2 linked regions of the Caenorhabditis elegans genome follow. The protein of the gene in region 2 purifies or fractionates together with the protein of the main gene of each other region. This does not show direct contact. Each region holds a gene or a part of one and is shown on either strand. Other genes may lie near its edges.

The links.
Region 1: the proteins of cyb-3 (region 2) and cdk-1 purify together in Caenorhabditis elegans (affinity purification with western blotting, with the first as the bait; one study listed by BioGRID). This does not show direct contact.

What each region holds. Positions count from the first base shown.
Region 1 is NC_003281.10:9,745,555-9,749,352, forward strand, and holds cdk-1 (Cyclin-dependent kinase 1), read left to right. Parts: upstream 1-1,917; 5' UTR 1,918-1,919; coding exon 1,920-2,099; intron 2,100-2,149; coding exon 2,150-2,356; intron 2,357-2,404; coding exon 2,405-2,560; intron 2,561-2,611; coding exon 2,612-2,938; intron 2,939-2,985; coding exon 2,986-3,114; 3' UTR 3,115-3,298; downstream 3,299-3,798. Other genes in the region: iff-1 (Eukaryotic translation initiation factor 5A-1), read right to left, coding at 354-419, 469-606, 725-877, 922-1,051, 1,499-1,599; T05G5.4 (uncharacterized protein), read left to right, coding at 3,386-3,439, 3,483-3,596, 3,664-3,766. UniProt on the Caenorhabditis elegans protein: Plays a key role in the control of the eukaryotic cell cycle. Required for entry into S-phase and mitosis. Acts as a component of the kinase complex that phosphorylates the repetitive C-terminus of RNA polymerase II.
Region 2 is NC_003283.11:15,393,420-15,398,271, forward strand, and holds cyb-3 (G2/mitotic-specific cyclin-B3), read left to right. Parts: upstream 1-2,276; 5' UTR 2,277-2,293; coding exon 2,294-2,339; intron 2,340-2,391; coding exon 2,392-2,486; intron 2,487-2,537; coding exon 2,538-2,960; intron 2,961-3,009; coding exon 3,010-3,503; intron 3,504-3,548; coding exon 3,549-3,648; 3' UTR 3,649-3,929; downstream 3,930-4,852. Other genes in the region: T06E6.1 (WD repeat-containing protein 74), read right to left, coding at 1-205, 516-815, 865-1,171, 1,221-1,345, 1,388-1,531; fbxa-199 (G-protein coupled receptors family 1 profile domain-containing protein), read right to left, coding at 3,966-4,101, 4,143-4,273, 4,639-4,850. UniProt on the Caenorhabditis elegans protein: Could be involved at the G2/M (mitosis) transition. Interacts with the CDK1 and CDK2 protein kinases. G2/M cyclins accumulate steadily during G2 and are abruptly destroyed at mitosis. Plays a role during oocyte meiosis II.

The DNA of each region.
Region 1 (3,798 bases), on a different chromosome or scaffold from region 2:
TATTGGCACGCGGCCAACCTGGGGTCAACTCAATAAGCAATAAGGTGTAGTGTACAAAGGGTGGAAAAGCTGCACAGGCCATGTAGTTCCAAAAACTAGGAACTGTGATTACAAAGTCTGACAACTGAATCTGATTTAACACTCCATGGACAGATGTCACCTCCGCGGTTTGCAAGCAATTCATTTTCGTTTGGTGAGCAGATATCACAATCAACACGACACATAAAACACCCACATTACACAACACCAGCGGAGGTGCACTTGTTCATTGCCCGATGTTTTTCGAATGATGTATAAAAAGCGGGATGATTAAACTGGAACTGCTTTTATTATGAAATTGTATATAAATGCAATTATTCCTTGGTAGAAATCTTGTATCCGAGAATAGCCTCCTCTCCGCAGGCAGCAACGACTTGAACCTGAAAATCAAAATTTTCAGATTCAAAAGGTGGATGTCGAAATAATTACCAAGACGCTTCCTTCGTCTTTCTCGAGAGCCTCACGGATAGTGTTTCCCAAGTCTCCTTCTGGCATTTTGAGATCGTCTTTGAGCTCGCAAGATTCTGGATCCATGAGCGAGCAGAACCCGTCTTCGATCGACATGAGCTGAAAATTTGATCAATAACATTTTTTACAGCTGATTAACTCATTTTTCAAAAGATTTGTTTAACCGTCCAAAGTTGATTTTTTTGAAAGCCTTCTTAAAAACTAATTAACAACTTACAATGTACTCGCGTCTCTTGACGACTGGGACGTCCATGTTGTGGGTGGATGGGCAGATATCCTCAAGCTTCTTGGTGGTGAAAATATCGATGGCAACCATGTGAACCTTAGCATGTCCGTGCTTTCCAGTCTTGGAGGTGCTCATCTCGACGATCTAAAAAATTTCTAATTAGGAAAATTCACTGAATTATTTTTTACCTTGCATGGTCTTCCTCGGATCATGACGTGCTCGTTCTTGCGAAGAGCCGAGCATTGCTTCGGGAAAGTAGCAGCAGCTCCGGACTCGGCAGAGTCGAATTGCTCCTCGTCGTGATGATCTTCGGACATACTGCAACAAAGATTTATCAATTATTTTAGCATTTTCAACTAGTTTCCAACGAGAAATTCAAAAAATAAATTTGGAAAAAAAGGTTTGCAGGAAAAAATTGTTTTGATTGAGAAATTTGATGCATTTCTAATAAAATATTGATCTTAGCAAGAAAAACACTGTACAAACCTGAGAAAAGTATAGAAATCGAGAGAAAATCAAATGCGCGAATTTTTTTGAAAGGACGTTGTTTGGCTGCGTATCACAATGAAGAATGAGTCGCTACGCAGCCAAAAATTTGGCGCCAACTTCCATCTTCAGACAGAATCGAAGTCCTCACTTTTTTAGGATTTCAAGGAATCTGCTCTATTTTTTGATTTATCTGAATAAATAATTTCCTAAAAATGCATTCGTTGCTTACTTGCCAAATTTCGCTTTCATCATGTAAAATTAAATAATAAAAATTACCTCTCTATGGTCTTCGGGGCAGCAACTCTCGCCATCCACCCTCCGAAGCCAAGATTACGATTTTTCTTTGAAACTCTGTTTAGTTTTGTTGGAAGCCTCATAAAGTAGAACAAATCAAGTTTATGATTATTTTGAGTAGTTATTTTTATATTTTCCGGCCTGTATTTATTCTCTTTTCTGCACAGTTTTGCGTTAAATTTTATCATATGAATGCAATGTTTCACAACAATCCTTCTCAGCGCGTACTCTCCTTTTCGGAATAAATTGTCATCAAAGGTGCATGCCTTTTCACTAAGCAATGGTCTCGCACCGACTGTCCCCCCTTTTCGGCGGCAGTGGAAATGATTCAAAATTACACGCTTACGCCTTTTCTATCGTTGTATTACAATTGTTCTGACAAAATTCATTTCCAATTTTAGTTATGGATCCTATTCGCGAAGGAGAAGTGGCCCACGAGGGAGATTCGGTTTACACACTCAACGATTTCACGAAGCTCGAAAAAATCGGCGAAGGAACATACGGAGTCGTCTACAAAGGCAAAAACAGAAGAACCAATGCCATGGTTGCTATGAAGAAAATCAGATTGGAAAGTGAAGATGAGGTATTTGAATTTTGTAGCAGTTTCGTTTTTTCAAACAATAATTCTTATAGGGTGTTCCATCAACGGCTGTGCGAGAGATCAGCTTGCTCAAAGAGCTCCAGCATCCGAATGTTGTTGGATTGGAAGCGGTCATTATGCAGGAGAACCGGCTTTTCCTGATCTTCGAATTCCTGTCTTTCGACTTGAAACGATACATGGATCAGTTGGGAAAAGATGAATACCTTCCGCTCGAAACTCTTAAAAGTTACACATTCCAAGTGAGGAAATATTTAAAATCGATGTCTTTACAAGAATAATTGTTCCAGATTCTTCAAGCTATGTGTTTTTGTCATCAGCGTCGTGTTATTCATCGCGATCTTAAGCCACAGAACTTGCTGGTCGACAACAATGGAGCAATCAAGCTTGCCGATTTCGGACTTGCCAGAGCTATTGGTATCCCGATTCGCGTTTACACGCATGAAGTGAGTTTGCATTCATTCTGTACACCAATACAATGATTGTCCGGTTTTCAGGTTGTCACTCTCTGGTATAGAGCTCCAGAAATTCTGATGGGTGCTCAGAGATACTCGATGGGCGTAGACATGTGGTCGATTGGATGCATTTTTGCTGAAATGGCCACGAAGAAGCCACTGTTTCAAGGAGATTCAGAAATTGATGAGCTGTTCCGCATCTTCAGAGTTCTCGGCACACCGACTGAGTTGGAATGGAATGGTGTTGAATCACTTCCGGACTACAAGGCGACGTTCCCAAAATGGCGTGAGAATTTCCTCCGTGACAAGTTCTACGACAAGAAGACTGGAAAGCACCTTTTGGACGATACTGCATTCTCTCTTCTTGAAGTAAGATTTCTAAAATAGTACTTTAACAAGTAAAATAATATTTTCAGGGTTTGCTGATCTACGATCCATCACTTCGTCTCAACGCGAAAAAAGCTCTCGTTCATCCTTATTTTGACAACATGGATACGTCAAAGCTGCCAGCTGGAAATTACCGAGGAGAACTCGAACTCTTTTGATGTAATTCATTCATCATCATTTTTATTATTTATTCTCCCGTGCTTTAACCACCTATCGTCTTCCGTGTATTGTTTAACTATCACCATTTCAACTTTTTACCTGTACGATGATTATTTGGCCCTTCGATATTCATGAGTAATCTCTTTTTTCACACCGCGATAAATAAATTCGCTCTACTTTCATGCTCTTTTTTATTCAAGCACTTTGTTCAACGTGTAAATGAGAATAGGGAATTAAGAATTCATTATTATTATTTTTCCATTCTGAAGAATGATCGCTGCAGTGATTCCAATATTCGTAATTTCTCTGTCTAACATTTCGCACGTAAGCTAAGGTAACGAAAACTAATCTAACTGGAGCTATTAAGATTATTCTTGCAATTTTCTTCTTCCCATCGATTGTAGAATTCCTCGATGATCTTTACTGGGGATTCACTTATCGTTCGTGGTCTCCAATTGCACGTCAATTAGAATTGGGACCGGTAGGATATATCCCTATATATAGGATTAAATACAATTTAGAGAATAAATCAAAATAATTGTGTTTAGAACATTTACATTCATCACTCGAAGGTTTCTATTTTGATGGACAAAGCTGATCTTTATGAGAAGAATCAGTCTAGGAAAGATATTTTAAACTATTACCGGGAAGGTATTGTTTAATATTTATTCATTCTCTCGAAT
Region 2 (4,852 bases):
CCATCACTCCCCACACGTCATCCTCCTCAATGACGTCATCATCATCTTCGTCATCCTCATTTTCAGATCGATATCCATCTTTGGTCATATTTCCGTATTCCGTTTCATCCTCATTAATCTCCTTTTTCGATGCAGGCTTTTTGTCGTTCAAAATTGATAAATTATCACGGAGTAGGACACGATTCAGGCGCGTTTTGCAGTAAATCTGAAAAAATTGAGGGTTTCTTGGTTTTCAGAGATTTTTTTTGTAAATTTTCACGAAAAAAAACAGTGCCGCACAGAAATAGAGACAGAGCATGATTTCGCAATTTTGCAGCACGGGTTTTTCTCTGATTTTCACTGTTTTTTGTAGATTTTTCAATAAAGTTTCAATTTTAATTGTTTCGTTATCTTCTTTTTTTTGATTTGTGCAAAATTCACGGATTGATTGCTTAATTGAAATCAAAACTCCACGTAAAACGTGATGAAGTTCGCGAAAATCTTCTTTTTCAGCCGAAAATTGTCATTTCTCGAACCTTATGAATCAGCTTCCTCGATTGCAAATCGTGTACTCTCAAAAATCGATCAATTCCAACGGAAGCAGCCAGCGGCAGTGTTGGATGAGCTGTGATGCTCCGGATAGATCCGGCTTGTCCCTTGAACTTGCACATCGGATGAACTTTACTGCGCAAATCGAAAAGTCCCATTTCTCCGATGGAATTTGCGGCGAGTATTTGATTGGTTTTGTATGTGAGCGAGGTACACATTATCGGATTTTCCATAAATGGGATCTTCTTGACGGGTCGGCGTTGAGCGCGTGGATCGTAGAGGCGCATCTGAAAAGAAAAATCGTTTTTAAAATTATTAATTTTAGTAGAAAAGCACCTCGTGAAGCTTTGTGGCCTCGAGAATCGTGTTCTGTCCTGGAATAAATCTTGCATCTGTAATCATGATAGGAATTTCCAATCCGAGCATATCGGGCGGCACATTCTTAGCGCTCCACGTCTGCTGGCCGGTCTCCAAATTCCACGTTTTCAGAAGATTCTTCATACCGCCCGTGACGATTTCTGGCTTCTCGGTGGATCCCCGCATGACGGCAACTCCTGGACCGGTCTTCCACTCGGACAAGATTTCAGATTTGTCATTCCAGATTTGCAGTTCGCCGCTTTCAACGCAAGTGACGATTTTTTCACTGAAATATTTAATTTTGAGATTTGAAACCACGGTTTTTGTATGATTACTCTGCTTTATGCAGGCCTTTGATTGGTCCAGTGCCTCCGGTAACTGTTAATATCGATACAAGTTCGTTTTCTTCAATGCCAAGTAGCTGCAGATCCCGATTTACTCGAGCGATCAGGATTTCAGTCTGAAATTCAACTTTTAAAATAATTTATCGACCATAACTAACCTGTTGCTCGTCATTCCAGATCATCGAGGTAATCTCATCGCTTTTCGGGTCAAGGGACTTGATTTCATTGAGATTTTGGAAGGTATTCTCCTTCAAAATTGCTCCTTTCAGAGCGCCAGTGGTTGCTCCCACGTAGCAGTCCATTTTACCTGAAAAATTGATGAAATAAGTCGAAAATAATTATTTCTTCGAGAAATTAAGCGCAGATTAAGGTTAAATTGGGAAATAACTCTATTTTAGCGAGAACAAAAGTAAAATTACAAGAAAAAATGCGAATAAAAATGAGAAATGCAAGTGCGCTCTGCCGAACAAGCGGCAGATTTGAATGCGATTTCTGCAATTTTATCATTTTTTCCATTATTGAATCACTTTTGAGTACATTTAGCTTATTTTCAATTGTTAACCTATTCTCTAAAAGAACAATTGTAAGTATTTTATTTTCTGAAAACAATTGTTCTATTTTTCATTCTTTAAAACCCCTAAAATATCTGATTTTCTTTTAATCAATATTTCTGAGGACAGCAAATCACATTTTTGGAGTTTATACAAAACACTTGAATGTTATTTTCTTATCAATAAGCACATTTTCTATCAAACCCAGTTCACTTTCAAATTTTTCAATCACTTTTTTCTGAACTTTTAAGCATTTTTGTCGACAGTGAGAAATATCGCCGACCGTACTCCGAGGCATGTGCGCTCCACCGAACGGGGGGCAATTTCAAATACACCCCGCGAGACCCACCAAGAGGGCGGCAATTTCCAGTGTTCACCATCGTTTGCCATTTGCTCTCTGCTCCCAAAAATCATCATTTTTTTGGTTTCATCGCTTCGCAGTTTCCGTTTAATATTTTGTCTCCATTTTCCCCACTTTCAATGTAATTTATTTCAGTATTTTCAGCATTCAAAATGATGCTGCGAAGCCAGGCCAAGAATGTCGACCTGACTTCACAAGGTGAGCGGATTTCCTCGAAAACTATTTATAGATTTTAAATTTTAATTTACAGCAGATTCTCGGCATCAACAAAAACGAAAGCAGGCTGAGCAATTGGATGCTCTAAAGAATCCATCGGAACCGGCAGCCAAGAAGCAACACAGCAAGGTAGAACGAGGATTATCGATTTTTTGGGCCTTCTCAAATTAATTGTTTCAGGGTCTCACCGAGCTCCGCGCACACATCTCTGGATTTAAAATCGACTCGGCAAAGCGAGATCCACTGGGAAAGTCGAGAACGAGTAGACGAGACGTCGAGAACCTTCCACCGCAAAAGTCCAGATATGTTGATCCGTGTCCTCATTACGATTACGACCTCGAGGAGGCCGGAAACCCGGACAGTATCTCGGACTATGCTCAAGGGATTTTTGACTACTACAGACACCGAGAAGTTCACTTTCGAGTGAGAAAGTACCTTCACAAACATCCGGAGGTTGACGTCAAGACTCGTGCTATCCTCATTGACTGGATGGTTGAGATTCAGGAGACATTTGAGCTCAACCACGAGACCCTTTACAACGCCGTTAAGCTCACGGATATGTACTTGTGCAAGACGAAGAATGTTGACAAAAACACCATTCAGGTGAGATAAAATCCAAAGTAGTCTATTATTTTTATCAATAAATTTTCAGAAGCTTGCATGTGTCGCCATCTTCATTGCCGCCAAGTACGATGAGCGATCTCCACCACTCGTCGATGATCTCATCTACCTTTCCGGAGATCGCTTCTCCCGCGATGAGCTTCTTGCCATGGAGCGTGAACTCTTCGCCACCGTCGGATATGATCTCGGCTCACCACTGAGCTATCGGTATCTTCGCCGCTTCGGTCGTGTCTGTCGTGTCGATATGAAGACACTCACCATGGGACGCTTCATTCTGGAGACATCACTGATGGTCTACGAATACGCTATGGTCTCACAATCCCGTCTTGCCGCCGCCGCTTTCGTCTTGGCCATGCGTATGCTCGACAAGAATAATGAGTACGAGTGGAATCCAGTGCTCGAGAAGTATTCTGGATTCACTGGAGAGGAGGTGATGCCACTGGTGGAGCACATGAACCACATTCTTCATTTTTCGAAGGACAAGTGGGCTCAACTCACATCCGTTCGCCAGAAGTATTCTCATGAGTGAGTTTTTGCAAAGAAATATCGATTTTTAATATTTTTTTCCAGAGTATTCTTCCATGTCGCCTCGATCCCAATGCTCCCGGATACCCTCAAGGTTGTGGATTCCCACACATATGCTCCAGTCCCAATGCTCTCATACCCATAACTAATCCTAATTTATTCCCGTATTGGATTCTGAATCCCCTCTCAACTGTTCACCCACCAAAACTTTCAAACGATTGACACCTATGCCTCTTTTGATATATTTTGTATACGTATTGCAATTCTCTTCTGTATTCCATTTAACTCCTGTCATCTCTCACAAATACACATACGCAATTTTGGCCTGATTTTGTTTTTTGCTTTTAAAAATCTGAACATATTGCAAAATTTCTACCAATTTTTAAACACATTTCGAGCTACGCCAAAATAAATTATTTTTCCGGCAAATTGTTTATTGATGGTGTGATTTCAGATTAATGACTAATGTGGAGACTTGAACTTGATCGGCGCAACTTTACAAGCGGTTTTTGTCCTTACAGTGCTGACAACGATAACTGCGGAGCCTGTAGAAAAGATTTTACGCCAAATTTCAGAGTTGAAAACGAGGGTTATTATTCTGAAATTTGAAATTTTCACAATCTTCATTGAATTTCTCACCCATCGAAGCAATGAACTGCTGCCCATAGAATTGAAGAAAATATGAATGTGAATTTTTTGTCAGGCAGCAGTCGAGGTCCCCATGTGAAACAGCAAACAATTATTAGTACAAACAAAGTTTGGCTCAAGGACTGAAAGTTTCATTTTTATGCAATTTGCGATGATAGTTTATTATGGGGCCGCAGAAAAACGCTCCATTTGAAATCAACGTGGAAACGCGCTCCACGGGCAATTGAAAATGCTCCGCCCCCAACAGCTGGGTCTCGTTAGGTATTTGGCGGCAAAACCGTGAATTCAAACGTTTTCAATTAAATATCTTTTTTTGTTATTTCAAATATTTTTACGTCGAAATTGAACAAGATGAACAGTTTTTTAAAAAAATTATCAATTTCGATTCAAAAATCAATAAAAATGACGGAAAAACGTTCGAATTTACAGGTTTCGCCGCTAAATACCTAACGAGACCCATTTTTTTGCATTTCCGTAATAACAATACCTGCTTCAGCCAGTTCAGCTCAATCGAATTTTTAACCGACTTCGTCCTCAATTTTGCCACCTTCCAAATGGCAGAAAAATTCAAAAATGCACTAGTGATTGTTAGTGTGAAAACTTGATAAAAATCTCCATATGTCCCATACCAACGGCAAATTTTTCCACCGGAATATTGAAATGCTAGATATTTAGCATTATAATAATTTTGGCATCCTACT